Linked DNA regions of Notamacropus eugenii. The protein of the gene in region 2 purifies or fractionates together with the protein of the main gene of each other region. This does not show direct contact. Links are inferred from orthologs where the notes say so. Each region holds a gene or a part of one and is shown on either strand. Other genes may lie near its edges.

The links. Proteins that work in one complex are often made in the same cells at the same time.
Region 1: the proteins of FBXO22 (region 2) and KDM4B purify together in Homo sapiens (affinity purification with western blotting; 3 studies listed by BioGRID, with this or other methods). This does not show direct contact. The link is inferred for Notamacropus eugenii from reciprocal best matches to the Homo sapiens genes FBXO22 and KDM4B.

What each region holds. Positions count from the first base shown.
Region 1 is NC_092875.1:72,444,414-72,451,645, reverse strand, and holds the start of KDM4B (lysine-specific demethylase 4B), read right to left. Parts: upstream 3,021-7,232; 5' UTR 2,714-3,020; intron 1-2,713. UniProt on the Homo sapiens protein: Histone demethylase that specifically demethylates 'Lys-9' of histone H3, thereby playing a role in histone code. Does not demethylate histone H3 'Lys-4', H3 'Lys-27', H3 'Lys-36' nor H4 'Lys-20'.
Region 2 is NC_092872.1:255,804,237-255,812,157, forward strand, and holds the start of FBXO22 (F-box only protein 22), read left to right. Parts: upstream 1-4,833; 5' UTR 4,834-4,848; coding exon 4,849-5,405; intron 5,406-6,684; coding exon 6,685-6,817; intron 6,818-7,921. UniProt on the Homo sapiens protein: Substrate-recognition component of the SCF (SKP1-CUL1-F-box protein)-type E3 ubiquitin ligase complex that is implicated in the control of various cellular processes such as cell cycle control, transcriptional regulation, DNA damage repair, and apoptosis.

The sequences.
Region 1 (7,232 bases), on a different chromosome or scaffold from region 2:
ACAGGTTAATACAGGAGTTCTTAAACTTGGGTCCATAAACGTGTTTTTAAAATTATTTTAATAACTGTGTTTCAATGGAATTGGTTTCTTTTATAATACTATATATTGTATTTTATGCAGTAAAAAATATTTTCCTACAAAGGAATAGGTTTCCCCAGACTGGCAAAGAGGAACAAAAAAGGTGAACTCCTAAAGTCTTTGCAGCCATTCCTTTTATTCAATTTTTTCCCTTTCAAACTGTAAGATTTCTTTACCTATCTTGGCAAATATTCAATTGTTTAAAGTAAGAAGGCTCCTCTGGCTAATTTTATTTTTTTAAATCCAGCTTTTACCAAATTTCTCCTTTCACTGTGACACATACACACATACACACATACATATATATATACACACACATATCCATATATATACACACACACACACACATATATAATATAAAAATATGTAGATTCTGGGTATTCAGAACACAAGATCTGACAAGTCCTACCCAAGTTAAAAAAGCTTTTACAACCCTACATAGTCTGAGAATCAAATAAGTTCAAAGTCCCAGTAATTCAGTAAGATATGATCCAAGGCATAGCAAAACTATTATTTTTCCTCATGAAACTAGAGAACACTACTTCTCAGTTTCTTTATCTGCAAAATGGGGATAATACCTGTAGCTGCCTCACAGGATTATTCTGCGACTGAAACAAGGTAATATTCACAAAAGAGGATCTGCTAACCTTATATCATTTTTACTATTCTTAATCAATCAGAATCATAGATATGGAGATTTCAGAGACCTTAGAAATTTCATTTTATAGATGTGGAAACAAAAGCAAAAAAGTGAATGACTTTCCCTGGATCTGGTAGAGTGAGCAACAAAACCCAGGGCCTCTTGACTCCAGATTGGACGCTTTTCTCACTATATCCTTCTTCCTTTTTAAATAACATAAGCAGTACATCTACTCAGTATAACCATTTTACGAAAAAATTTAAATCTGATGTGGTAATTTAACAGTATGATTCAATGCACATTTAATGGAGTTTCAAAATATCCTTTCCAATCTTTCTAGTTTGTATCCACTGCCTTGCACTGGTCTGTCAACATGCCCTTGGTTAAGCCTAGGATTATCTAGCTCATTTCCAATAAACAAGAATAAAAAATGTGGAAGAAAAATTCAGATGCCTCATGTAATCTCATAGTAGGGCTCTATGGATTCCCCGAAAAAACAACTCAAACCAATTATCACGAGTACAGAGGATTGACTCAACTTCGGGGATTCCTAAATCTCAAGCTAGAAGGCTTAGCCGGCATGCTGTGATTCTCAAATCAAACTACCATTTTTAAACAGCCAACTCAGTTCTCCTGTCTAGGATCACTGAAATTTCCACCCCGGCAGAAGCCTGGCTAACCTTTCCTGTCTATCCCATCGGGAGCTGTGTCGCCGGTCCCAGAGACCAACAGTCCCAAACTACACCATAAGATTACAAGTATTTTAACAATGTATCAATTGCACAACCTTTCCGAATCCGTCCACGTTGGAAAAGTAATACATTGTGTGTACGGGAAATCAGCCCTTCCCACCCTCACTTTCACGGACGCAACTTCTGTAACCCCCATTTGGTCGCAGACACAAGCGACACCCCTTTCCCGACCGCGGTTTTGGGGTCAGGCCCTACTTCTCCAAATGTTACCGGGCTTTAAAAAAATTCAATAGCACCTCAATTGCGAGGATGTGTTGGAACCACCCATGATTGTCACCGGAGGAGTCTTTTGTGAGGGACTGCCAACCCTCTACTCAAAACAAAAAGCGACCCCGGCTAAAGGCACCATTCGGCCCACGAAGCCCCAACTCCCTTCTCCCCGCCCCCTCCCCCTCGGGCTTAGTGGAAAGAAAGAGAACGCACCGGCCACGCGCGACGCCCTCCCCCCTCCCCGGACACCGCGGCCCCCATTGTGTCCCAGCCCCTCCTCCTACCCCTCCAGCTCGGGCCAGGCCGGACCGGCGCAGGCCGGGTGACAGCCGCGGGCGCCGCCGACCAGGCTCCCGGGCCTCCGAGCGCAGCGCGTTCCCCGCCTCCCCCGGCCGAGCGGGCGACCTGCCGGGACAGCAGCTCGCCCGGCGCGGCGGCGGGGATTGCTGCGGAGCCTGGGGGCGGCGGGGAAGCCTGGGAAGAGAGGGCTTGGGGATCGGGAGAAAGGAGGGGGAGGGGAGAGGGGGAGGGGGCCCCCCATTGGCCGGGGCAGTTAACGCATCTAACCGCCCCTCGCTAGCCCGTCCGGGCCGGGGCCCGAGCGGGGACACCGCCCCCGCCCCCACCTCCACGCCCCAGCCCCGGCCCCAGCCCCGGCGCGGGGACCCGAGCGGCCAGGCGGGGCGCTGGAGACAATGAGCGGGGGAGGGCGGCGGCGGAGGAGCCGCGATGGAGGAGGGGAGAGGAGCCAGGCCGGGCCCGGGACGCACTAGGGCGGCAGAGCTTGATCCCCGGCCCCGGCAGGGAGCAGGCCCGCGGCCCCGCCGCGCTCTCTCCGTCCCTGCTGGGCCCGCCATCGCGCTCTCCCTTTCTTGACCGGCTCGGCCCCACACGCCCGCCACCTCGCGTCGCCTCCCCGGGGGTGTGAGGGGGCGGCCGCGGCCCGGAGAGAACAGGACTGGGGGGCTGGGGGGCAAGACTCCCTCAGCTGGGGCCTCCCTCCGCCGAGGCGAAGGCAACACCTCGACCTCACCTGATGGCCGCCGCCCGGCGCGTCAGCTCCGTCAGTCCGTCGCGGGGTGGCTGGGCCAGCCGCTTTTGGCTGCTTAGCTCAGGCCGGGCCCCTTCTCTCGCTCGCTCGGCCAGCACTCGACCCCACCGCAGCAGAAGCTCTATCCGCGAAGGGCCCGCACCGCCCCGGCCGCCATTGGCCCCAGCACCCACACCCGCCCGCCCATTGGCCACGGCTGACAGCTCCGCCCCTCCCCCTCCGCTCCGCCGATCAACAAGGCAAGGCCCTGCCCCTTGCACAGCGAAGAGGTGGGCTAGGAGGGATTTCGGGCACGGATTGGTCAGGCCTCCAGGGAGACCGCACCTCCTCATTGGACTAGCTCGCAGGACTCCCGGCCCTCCCACGTGCCTGCTGCCCGGCCACACTCCCATTGGACCCCACAAATACCATTCAGCCACTCTCGACCAACCCAATGGCTAAACAGCCTAGGATTGACAACGGTGCCTTAGGGCCCGCCTATCGGTTGCACGAAATTGAACCACTATTGGCTGCAAGGCAAGCTGGAGGTGCAAAGAATGGATCTGGCAGTTGTCACTCAAGTCCCTCTCAGTAGAGCCCCCGCCCTTGCAATCAGGCTGAGAAATGAGTACGTGATGCCCAGCACAACAGCAGGCTGGGCTTGGGGAGATGGGAGCTTCTCTGTATGTTGGAGACCTCTTCAATTTGCATGCACAGGCCTTAGCACCTGAGAAGAAAAGGGAGAAATGAAAAAGGGAAGGGAAGACCTTCTAGACCCACGGAAAATACGGGGTGGCCGAGGGCTCCCCGGGGTGGGATGGGACTTAAGGCCCAGGTCATAATGAGGAAACTGAGGCCCAACTAAGACTCAGTGGTTATGACTATCCCCAAGGTCATACAAGTATTAAGTGGCAGGAATGAGCTCAGAATCCAAGTCCTCCGACTCCCAAGTCTACTGCTCTTTGTACTCACTACTCTGCCTCAGTTTCTCTTTTCAATCATACTACTCCAAATGCTGCTTCTGAATTCTCATTTACTCCCTATCTCCCCACTGACGCTATTTCTAAATCTTCTCATCCCTCCTCATCCCCCTTCCCAGCTGAGGATCTTGCCTCTTTGCTGAGAATAAATGAAAACTTTCCTTGTGAGCTTCCTCTTCTCCCACTCTCATCTCCACACACCTGGACCTCATCTCCTACTGACAAAGATTCTCCTTGCCAAGGCCAGACCTTCATGTGTGCTTAGCCTCATTGCCTACTGTCCTCTCCAAGAAACTTGAGTCCCTCCTGATGAATCTCCCCACAGCTGCCTCCAGACTTCCCTAGCTACTGGTGCCTCCAAGTATACCCAGATCTCTCCCATTCCTAAAAATTAAAACTTTCCCTAGCTCCCACTATACTCTCTAGTTCTAGTCCTCGATCTCATCACCCCCTGCTTCCCTTTAAGCTAAATTCTAGGAAGTTATTTACATTTGTTTGTTGCCTTCACTTTCTGTTCTGTCATTCCTCAATCTTTGAGGCAGCTAGGTAGCAGCTTGGACTCTGGAAGACCTGAGTTCAAATCCAAACTCAGACATCAGCCAGAGCAAGTCACTGTCACTGAAGCTGTCTGTCTCAGGTTCCCCAGTTGTAAACATAGCACCTATTTCCCAAGCTCATCAACTGACTAAAATTGCACTCTCCAAGTCACTCTTATCTTGTATGATCTGGATTAGACACTGTTGAGTATCCCATTCCTCTCTGGGGTTTTCATGACACCATTCTTGACAGTTTTCCTACCTGTCTGCCCATTTCTTCTCCTTTATTAGCTCATCATCCTTATCACATCTCCCTAACTTCAAATGCTCCCCTGAAGATTTCTTCTAGGCACCCATGCAACTTGCACTTTCCTGTCATGGATTTAAATATCTTTATGAATATGACTCCTGGAGCTAAAAGTTCAGCCTGTTTCTCCCCTAATACTGATCACCAACTGGATCACCAGTTTCAAACTGGATATATCAAATTCAACAAGTCTAATACTGAACTCATTTCCCCCACTCCAAACCTCCTCTCCTCCACACATGACTTTTAATAGAAGGAACCATCCTTCCAGCTTTCCTGGTTCATAACCTCAGCACTGTCATTAAATCTTTATTCTCATTCTCCCTATATAACCAATCAATTGCCAATCCTGCCATAGCATTTCTTGAACTAAACCATTCTCTCACACAGCTACCCTCCTTAGTTCAGGCCCTCATCACCACTTGCAGAAACAACAATGCCTTAATTGGCAACCCAGCCTGAAAGTCTCTCCAATCCATCTCACACAAAGAAGTCAAAGTGATTTGACCCTCTCCTACTCAACCAACTCAAGACTTCCTGTTGTCTCTCAGCAGGTCAAAGGGATTTTCTTTAAAGTTTTGATCTGACTTAATCACTTACCTTCACTACCAACTCTCAGCTCCCTACTGTCTCTCAATCAACTCTTTTAAAAGCCCTTCACAACCTTATTCCAAACAAGTTTTCCAGACCAATTGTACATTACTCCCCTTCCCACCCTTGGCCATCCAGCTGCTTTCTGTTTTTACCATAAGCCATCTCGTCTCTCACTTTCCTTCAAAACAGCTCAAGAACCACCTTCTACATGAAGCCTCTCCTAACACTCAACTGCTAGTGCCCTGCTTCCAAACAACCTTTTATTTAAGGACTTAACTTGTATCCTCTTCATATTTATGAGTGCACTCACCTGTACTTGTTGTCTTTTCCATTAAAATGTAAACTCTACTTTCCAACAAACATTATTTTATTCTATTCATATTCCCAGTACCCAGGATTGTGCCTAACTTAGGGTAAGCACATGTTTATCATTAGATAGGCAACTAAAGTTGTATCAGTCTTGTATCAATTTGTTCCAGGAGAGACCGAAGTCCACCCTCATTTACAAATGAATAAACTTGAGGCCCAGAGCAGGCAAGAGACTTCTCCTAGAACTAGATCACCCAGTGGTAGACCTAAGTGAGGCCAGGACCCAGATTTCTTGATTCAAAGTCCTACATTCTTTGTCTATCAAGGGCTTGAGTGCCTATTCTATACTGGGCACCAGAGATATAGGTACCCACCCACAAGGTCCACTGCTATTGAACAACATTGGCAAAAGGGAAATTAATATTTGGCCCAGTTTCACTGGCTTTTAGCTTCACAGGAAAGCTGTTTTTAAAACAATGCAGTGTATTATCAATTTTCTATTTATACAATGCCTTTTATTTTCAGGCCTCCTAAAGCCTTTCCTTACACTACATTCTGGAAGATATCCCCAGCTGAAGTACATGAATTGAGCCAACTGGCATATAGCATTTCCAATTTTAAAAAATAGCTTTGAATTTCTAGTTTTTAGTGACTACACTTTAAGTAAAAGGTATAAGGGGAAGTGAAGAAATGGCACAAAGATATTTAAAACATACTGCACTGTCTTTCTCTTTGTTATGTATTTTTTATCTAATAAAATAGATTTCTTGGGAATTTTTTTCTTTAAAGCTGATCCCCCTGACTGCAAATAAAAAAAAAATCAGTATTCTTTATTATACATCAATCCAAAACTTATTTTTCCTGGACTGGTCTTTGGTATATTAAAGTATGAATAATTACAAATATTTCTTATGAAAACCTTCAAAATGATAACATACTTAGTCCAATTAGCTGACCCTTGAACATGTTCAAATCCAAATGATCATGCTCTGCCTCATTCTTTGATGCTTTCAAAGCAAAGTACTGCCCCCTCAGTGTCTCCATCTGGCTTAATCAACAGCTCAATCTTTCCTGCTAGGCTGTTCATGAGGATCTGAAGAGAACTGTCTCAAACTTTTTCTGACTCCCTCCCTATCCAAGGTTCATTCCACATACCAGACCAACTTCACAATGGATTTACAGGGGTAAATTAAAAATCCACCTTGAAACATTAAGTGGATTGATACTTTTTGACTTAACATTTGCAATTTATCAGAGACCTGAAAATGATTAATACCCCTTAAGAATAAGGAGGCACAGTAGAATACAACATGCAGTCAGGTAAGGACATTGGGTTCCACTCCTGATTATGATTATGACACAGCGCTAACAAATTCTTGAAATTTCAGCTGTATCAATAGTGAAATAGAGATGAGGAGGTAACATGACAACTGAAGAAGCACTAGATTGGGTCAGAGGCATAACTGAGGGGAAAATGGTCTCAATTTCTTCATCTGTAAAATGAGGTGGGTAGACTAGGTGGCCTCCCAGGGACTTTCTGGCTCTGAATCTGTCATAATATATTCATTACCTAACATGCAAATGTGTTGGGAGGTTTCCTTACAAGTAAGTGCAATGGAAATGGGAGTTGGATAAATTCATATTGAATTAATACCAGACTCCCAAAATCACATAAAAAAGCAAGCTCAGTATAGCATCACAGGCTGTTTAGAAATCTTCACAGGATCCTAAATGTATCTAATCCCAATAATGTATCTATTCACTGTCAGAATTTAAGATAACCATATTGGAAACAT
Region 2 (7,921 bases):
GAAGAGTGAAGCCAAGTGGGAAGTGAAGAGATGTCTGGCCTGGACACCTTCCTTAAATGGAAATTTTGTTAGGAGCTCTCTGTTCATCCCTCCAATCAGAGGGACCCAGGGACAGAGGGTAATGATGACCTCTGAGTATCAGGGCTGATGTGATCTTGCAAGATGATGAGGTGCCAGGGGTCATGATGGAAAAATCCAAAGGAATGTAGCCAGATGGAAAATGAAGAGGATACCTTGAAATACTGAATCATCAAATGGTCATTACATTTAACAGTTACAAACGATGATTTGGGGAAAATGTTCAAACAGCTTTATAGTTGTTCTTCCCAACATTGTTAGCAACATGAGAATAAAATGCGATTAAATTTGCTCTCAAATATTATTAAGGTTGCACTCATTTGAAGTAGTTGAAACTTTTGTAGGATCAACATTTTTCATTATTTAGTTTATTCACTAAGCTGGAAACTGTCATTAGCCAACTCTTTTTTTTAACAAATCCTGAATTTTAGTATGGGTTTTAGAAGCACAATGTTCCCTAATTCCTCCTCAACCCCTGCCTCCCAGAAGTTTGCCTAGTAGATTTATTTCCACCATTCAGGGTTACTAAATGTGTCCTCCATACCTAGAACAGATGGACATGCTTATTTTGCTGTGACTCCTAAATGCTAACTTCTCAATCCTTACATCCTGAATTCTTTAAAAAGAAAAGTTTGTTTTTAATTCCAATAATCTGGAAATGTAAAAGGAACAATTTCTTCCTTTGGGAATTATGATAGGTTTTCTTCAGTGATTGATTATTCAAGATTCAAAATGTTGTTCTATTGGTTTGGGCGCTCCACAATTATTTTTGTTCTTATTCTCTGTGCCTGTTTTCACTTTTTTCATGTTTAAAAATCCTAATAGATCACAATGCCTAAGACTGGCATTTTAGGGAACACAATCTGAAAACATGATTTCCCATTACATTAGTAAGACAGTTAACACTTGAGAGATAACTGTAAAAATTTGATTATATAATTTTAGAAATAATAAATTTTAACCTAGAATGCCTCATTTTTTCTGCTTATACCCATACCTTCATTGTGACTTGGAATTTCTTGCAAAATCTACTATCATTTTTATATGTCTGTCACTCTGAATAGTATCACAAAATCAAACATAGCATAACTGCTCAATTACTATTCATTCTGCAGAAAAGGCAGTTCAGCCAAAAAGACACTCATTGTCATTGATGAATGAGTGTAGTTCCTAGCTGAATATTGGTGTTAATGACTAAAGACAAAAGTGAACAACACTGTCCTTTGTTGGACCACCATTCATTGGTCAGTGATTCCCATGAACAAACTTCTTTGTTGAATTCTATAATAACTTTGGTATACCAGAACATTTTCACAAAATAAAAGCTACAGATATGACCCACTTTTTTGTTTAATCTGTATTAGTTAACATTTTCTCCATCATATCTTTAGTTCAGACTAGTCAGCAAACTACAGCCCACAGGCCAAACTTGTTTTTGTATGGTCAGGAAGCTGAGTAGTTTTTACATTTTTAAATAAAATTTTATTGTATTTTAAATTGTAAAAAGCACTTAGTTCCCTAGGCTGCATAAAAACAGGCAATATTGGATCAGATGTAGCTTGTCAATCCCTGGTCTAGACAATAAACCAAGCCAATATTTGTAGTGTTTGCTGATTTTCATAGTGTAAATAGTCCCACCGTAGTGGATTTCAACCTACCAACTGAGTGCACTGAGTGCAAAGTTGGGAAAAGATGCATGGTAACATACCATCATCTACTATTTCCACTATGCAGGTACAGTAGACATAAATTACATCAAGAGTATACATAATAAATCTGGTAAAAATTGTTAGGAAGTGAAGAGTTTAGAGTGTTTTATCACCTCTTTTTAGTGTAATTTGCTTAATTATAAATTTAAATAATTTTAAATGGTGGTTGTATTTAACAAGTGGCACACAAAAATCCTGAAAATTTAACAACTAGCTCTGCATACTACTGCTTGTATTCCATCTAATAGTTAACAAAAGGAGGCTTACTTAGCCTTAGAAATGAGAAGATATTTAACAAGGATGCATTTTTGGTTCTGTTGGGCGTGGATTCCCCACCTCTATGTTGTCTATGTCCAGAGACCCATGCTGGAGGGAGGAGCTCTTAGCTCCTGATGCCCTGACATTTTTTGTACCTAAGACACAAGGAAGCTATTATATCAGTAGTCTGAGCCATAACCCCCTGAATCAATTAAAGCCACTTTCAATACTTAAAGAAAATCTGCCATTAGGACAGTGACTGATATAATCCTGACCTCAGGGGTGAAAGAATCCTTTGGAAGAAGAAAAAGAAAAAAAAAAAGACTGCAAACCACTAAAAAACAACATGCAGCAAATAAGCAGTGACCCGGGATGGAGTAAAAGAATGAGGAAGAGAGGAGAGACCAGAAATCCCATGCTACATTCACCTCCCCTCTTCAGAACCACCAAGCCCAGGACCTTGACTATGATGCTAAATCTTTGCAATTGATGCTGCCACTGCTTGAGGCAGGATGATTGTTTCCTTGTGCTGGAGCCTACCAATGATTCCTGTGTTTCTGTATCGAACCCAAGTCTATCTTTTGAGCTATAATCTCATGCAGCCCACTGCCTTTGGGACATCTTGAAAGTAGTGATGTATAACAGTGGGGATGAGCAAAAGCAGCACCAGAAACACAGCACAGATTATATATAGTCACCGATCTCATCATGGGTCAGGTCATCCATAGGAAGATCACTAAGAGGTTGCATTACCAGAGACAGGATCCATACCGAGAATTACCCTGTATCACCACATACTTCATCTATCCATCCTTGCTATTGTCCTATATCTCTTCTCCCTTTTCTGCTAAAGTCCTTGATAAAGCCATCTACATGGATGCCTCCACTTCCTTTCCTCTTACTCCTTCTTAACTCTCTGCTGTCTCTTCTGAACTCATGATTCAATGAAATTTCTTTCTCCAAAGTTACCAACGAGCTATTAATTGCCAATTTTAATCAATCCTCATCCTTTTTGATCTTTTCAACCTTTGACATAGTTGATTATCCTCTTCTCAATACTTCCTTCTTTAGATCTGAAGACACTGTTCTCTCCCGGTCTTCTGGATGTTTGCTTCTTGGTCTTCTTGGCTGGATCTTCATCCAGGCAACATCTATCAGCCATTGGTACCCTGCCCTGCCCCGCCCCCCCCCCCCCCCAGCTCTGTCCTGTGCTCTCTTCTCCCTCTATACTATTTCACATTTAATGATCTCATCATCTCTCATGGATTCAATTGTCATTCTGTGAAAATGATTCTCAGATTTATTGATCCAACCCTAACCTCTCTCCTGATCTCTCATCTCTAACTCCACCCCCATCTCTCCTTCTTTAGTCTCTGGACCCTGACTACCTACAGAATGTTTCAAGCTGGATGATTCTTAGACATGTTAAACTCAATATACTGAAGACTGAACTCAATGTTTCCCCAAATTCTTCCCTCTAACTTGATGGAGGACACCATCACCTTCCCAGTCACCCAGAATGACAACCTAAGAGTCCTCCTGGACTCATCACTCTTTCACACCTCCATATCCAGATCCTGTATTATCTGTTTCTGCAGCATCCCTCCTCTGCACTTCCTTCACCCTGACACTGCCAGCACCCTGGTACAGGCTCTCATCAGCACCACACCTGGACTACTGCATAGCTTCATGGATGGTCTCCTTGCCTCGAGTCTCTCCCCACTGAAGTCATCCTCCACTCAGCTCTCAAACTGAGCTCCCTAAAGAACAAGTTTGATAATGCCATCCCTGGCCTGGTTCAAAAAACTCCAATGGCTCCCTCGTTTCCTGGATGCCCTTTCCTACCTTCCAACCTTAAACCTTCCCACCCCCACACCCTGTACTCTGCGATTCGAGGACTTCCTTGCTGCTGTTCCTCACACTAAACACTCCATTTCCTGACTGGGCATTTTCACTGTCTGCCCCCCCAGCTTGGAAGCCCCCTCCCTCCTTGCCTTTGCATCTTGGCTGTCCTGGCTCCTTCAAGGCTGCTAAAATCTCACCTGCAAGAAGCTCTTGCTCATCCCTCTCGGTGCTAACGCTTTCCCTTCGTTCATGGCCTCCAATTTAAGAGGCCACCTATCTGTGAGGCTGCTGTGTGCCTGAGGCCCCTCTCTGGGTCAGATCAGCAGCTCCGGCAGGGTGTGGTTAGGGGCACTCCTGGGCTGCCCGCCAGTGCTCCTGTCTCCTAACATTCTTCTGTTCCACTTTAGAACTTGGAGTTCTAACGCTGAAGAATAATCCATTCCTGAGCAGCATCACTTGCAAGTGTGCAGAGAACTCTCCATCCGTCATCTCCACTGATGCAGGGCTCTGGTTAAGAGGCTGGCCCAGGGTCACAGGAAGGTTCCAGATGGGATTCGAACGCCAAGTCCAAGGCTGGACCCTTCACCCCTGAGTCCAGAGTCTGGATTCTGATTCTCGGCATCCAGGGCTCCCATTAGTATGGGATGGATTTAAAAAACACCAGTTTAAAAATTAAAGTCAGTGAACGACGGGAGGCGGCTGCGCGGTGAAATCGGGGCCAGTTCTGGACTCGCTGCGCCTCGGTCCCCGCAGGCGTGCACCAGCGCAGGAGGCGGCCGAGCCTCGAAGGCCCGGGTTCAAGGGCCGCCTCCTCCGGCCTAGCTGCTGGGGTCCTCGGTCCCACACCCGTGACCCCGGGCGGAGCCGTCCCAGATGACCCCAGGGATGGAGCGGAGCCGGCTGGGGACCCTTCTATCTGATTCGGCTCCCACAGCAGCCCTTCCAAGGCGACGCTATTATGCTCACCCTCGGTTTACAGATGAGGAAACTGAGGCAGGGCAGGGTCATCCCACTCCTAAGGGTGGGAGGCCAGATTGGGGTTCGGGACTTCCTGACCCCAGGCAGAAGGGCAAACAAGGAGTCACGCCCTGGGGGGGGGGGGCCTTCCAGGACCCCACCCCGGCATAGTCGCCCCCCCACCCCCCCGCCAGGAGAAACGACGGGAGGGCGGGGCACGTGGCAACGGCACAGACTTCACACAGGAAGTGAGGTCGGCCCGGGGCGGGGCCTCCGTGCGCGTCCCCGCCGGGCCCCGCCCCCACCGCGGGCGCTAGCGGAAGTGGCGTGCGTCCGCGCTGGGCGTTCAAAGCGGAGCGTTGGAGAGCTAGCGGTAGCCGTCGTCGCGGCGGACGGAGGCAGGGCCGGCGACGACGGGGAGGCAGCGATGGAGCCGGCGGGGAGCGGCGGCTCCTCCTCCGTGGACTCTCAGGCCGCCTTCGTGCTGAGCAACCTGGCCGAGGTGGTGGAGCGCGTCCTCGCCTTCCTGCCTACCAAGGCGCTGCTGCGGGTGGCCGGGTGAGGAGTCCCGGGGGGCGCGGGGAGGGCCGGGCCCCTCCTCCCCTGCAGGCCCACAGGGCTCCGGCCCGGCCGCCGCTCCCCCTCCTCCTGCCCACGGCGGGCGTGCACGACCCCCGCCCGGCTGCACCTGCCCCGCCCCCCACCCGAGCCGCCGCTGTCGCTGCTGCTGCCGCTGCCGCCACCGCGCGTGCGCGCCGGGCTCAACCGCCGCCTCCCCTCCCCCAGCCGCTCGGGGCCCTGGACCCCGAGGAGCAGAGAGCGGGTGGGGGGAGGGGAGAGAAGAGCCGTGCCCCCACGTGACCCGCGGTCCGCGTGCCTGCCGCGCTGTGGGGCCTGGGCCGGGAGGCTTCCCGAGCGCTTTGACGCCCGCCTCCTCCTCCGCCCCAGGGGTCGTGCGTGGGAGCTCTGGCCCTTTTGAACAAAAATTACCGTAACTGGCGTCTGTATACAGTCAGAGCCCTCCTCACTCCCTATTCACAGATGAGGACGTTGAGGCCAGCCTAGGGCAGACCCGGCTCCCCAGGGGGTGGGGGTTTGGAGTGGGAGGAGGCATCCTCTACCCTTACTAAAGCTTCAAGGCGGCCCTTGGGGGTGCGGCGGGGTGACCTCGGGGTCGGAGGACGAGGGTGGGCTAGGTGTCTGGCAGGTTGGGGCGGGGTTCGATGTAGAGGAAAGAGTGAGCTGGAGAACCTCCAGTGAGTAGGTTGGGATCCGAAGTTCTTGAGGAATAATTAGTCACTGTTATTAGAAACATCAGTAGTAGATGTAGATGTATTTTTTGGAGAGCAGAGATCCTGCAGACAACGAAAATAGTGAAGAGCCTATTGCAGTTCTGTTAAGTGAATGCTAAGGAAACTCAAGGAGGTGCTGTCAGTGTTTGTGGAGAGACAGGACCAAGATGCTGTAGTGAAAGAATCTGAAGCCTTGGCATTTGAATGTAGGGAGAAAGGGAAGAGTCAGGGCGGATGCTAAGGTTTCAAGACCTGGTGATTGGGACAGTGCTTGGTGTTTTCATCCATGCACAAAGAGAATTTACCTGGAGAAATGGGGAGAGATTAATACTGTGTGCCAGACAGGGTGGTAAGTGCTTGATAGTTACTTCATTTACTAGAACAAGAAGTAGTTATTGTTATTCCCATTTGACAGACAGTCCACTTTTGTACACTTTAGAGTTAGAAGTACCAGCTTGACACCCGGGTAGATGGAAATTTCCAGCAGCCAGTTGAAAATGTGGTATTGGGATCTGTTTGGAACCTGTTATGATTTTTTTTTCCAGCGTATCCCGCTTATGGAAAGAATGTGTTCGTCGAACCTTGAGGAGCCAGCAGAGCGTGGCCTGGATCTCCACAATGGAGCCTGGGCCCCCAGAGATGCACTCACTGGTCCAAGTGTTAGCCAAGGAGCTTGAGGCAAGTGTTGGTCAGCCAGTAATGAAGCACTGCATTTCCTGTGGTGTCAGTCTTTAATGGACTGAGATGATGGCATCTTCCTTGGGGTGGTTGTGCTTAAATTTTGTCTCATTTCTTCTTGATGTGTTTATTTTCGACATGGTCACTATTAGTTACATAATTAGCCTTTATGGAAATCTTTCCACTAGCTAAACATGAAATACTTATATGCAGATCATTAAAGTAGAAACTAAGGGAGTTCTTAGTGACACATTTCCAATTAGGTTTTATTGGTCTGAACACACATTTTAAAATGACACAATGATGACTTGATAATAGTTTCTGTGGGAATTGGGCAAAAAAAAGTGTAAGAGAATTGACTTTTTAAAGTCCTAAAGCATGGTAAGATGGGGGCATATTAAGATACGGAGGAGCCCAGATCTATCAGAAACACTTCAGTGGGACTCAGAAATGTACCACTTTGAAAAGAAATGAAAAGAAACACCTATGAACTTTCCTCTCCTATCCAACTCTGAAATCTATAGGGGGACCCAAGTTGTGAAGAGACCAATAGAAAAGTTGGGTTGGGTCATGGGTGGAGTTCAGCCAATCCCTGGAAGCTTTAGACTAGTCCATCTAGGCAAGACCTTAGGGACAAAGAGAAATATAGAAAGCCCCTAGGCAAAATTCAGCTTGAGCAGTCCTTGAAGCCTGTGGAAGGAGTCCAGCAACCAGAGAGAAAGACCCTAGTCAAAGTCTGCAGCAGTGTGAGGTCCTAGAGCCCTGTCACAAGAAGCACATCCTTTTTCCAACCCCTTCCCCCAGCCCATCATTAGAGCAGTCTAGAGTCCCTTAAAGGAGGGGCCTAACTATGCCATATATTTGTGGAGTTTTACCAAGTGAAACACCCTTCACCTCCCACCCTTCAACCTAAATACTGAACTAGAGGAGATGAGCAAATGAAAGTAAAAACAACAGATGCCATGGAAGAACTACCTTGGTTTGAGAGACACACATGTAAACCACAAGGAAAATAACACCTCAATAAGCATAAGGTAAAGCTTGGAGAAATATATCTCTTGGCCATAGGCACTACATTAATACCAGGAAGAAGAAAAAAAAATG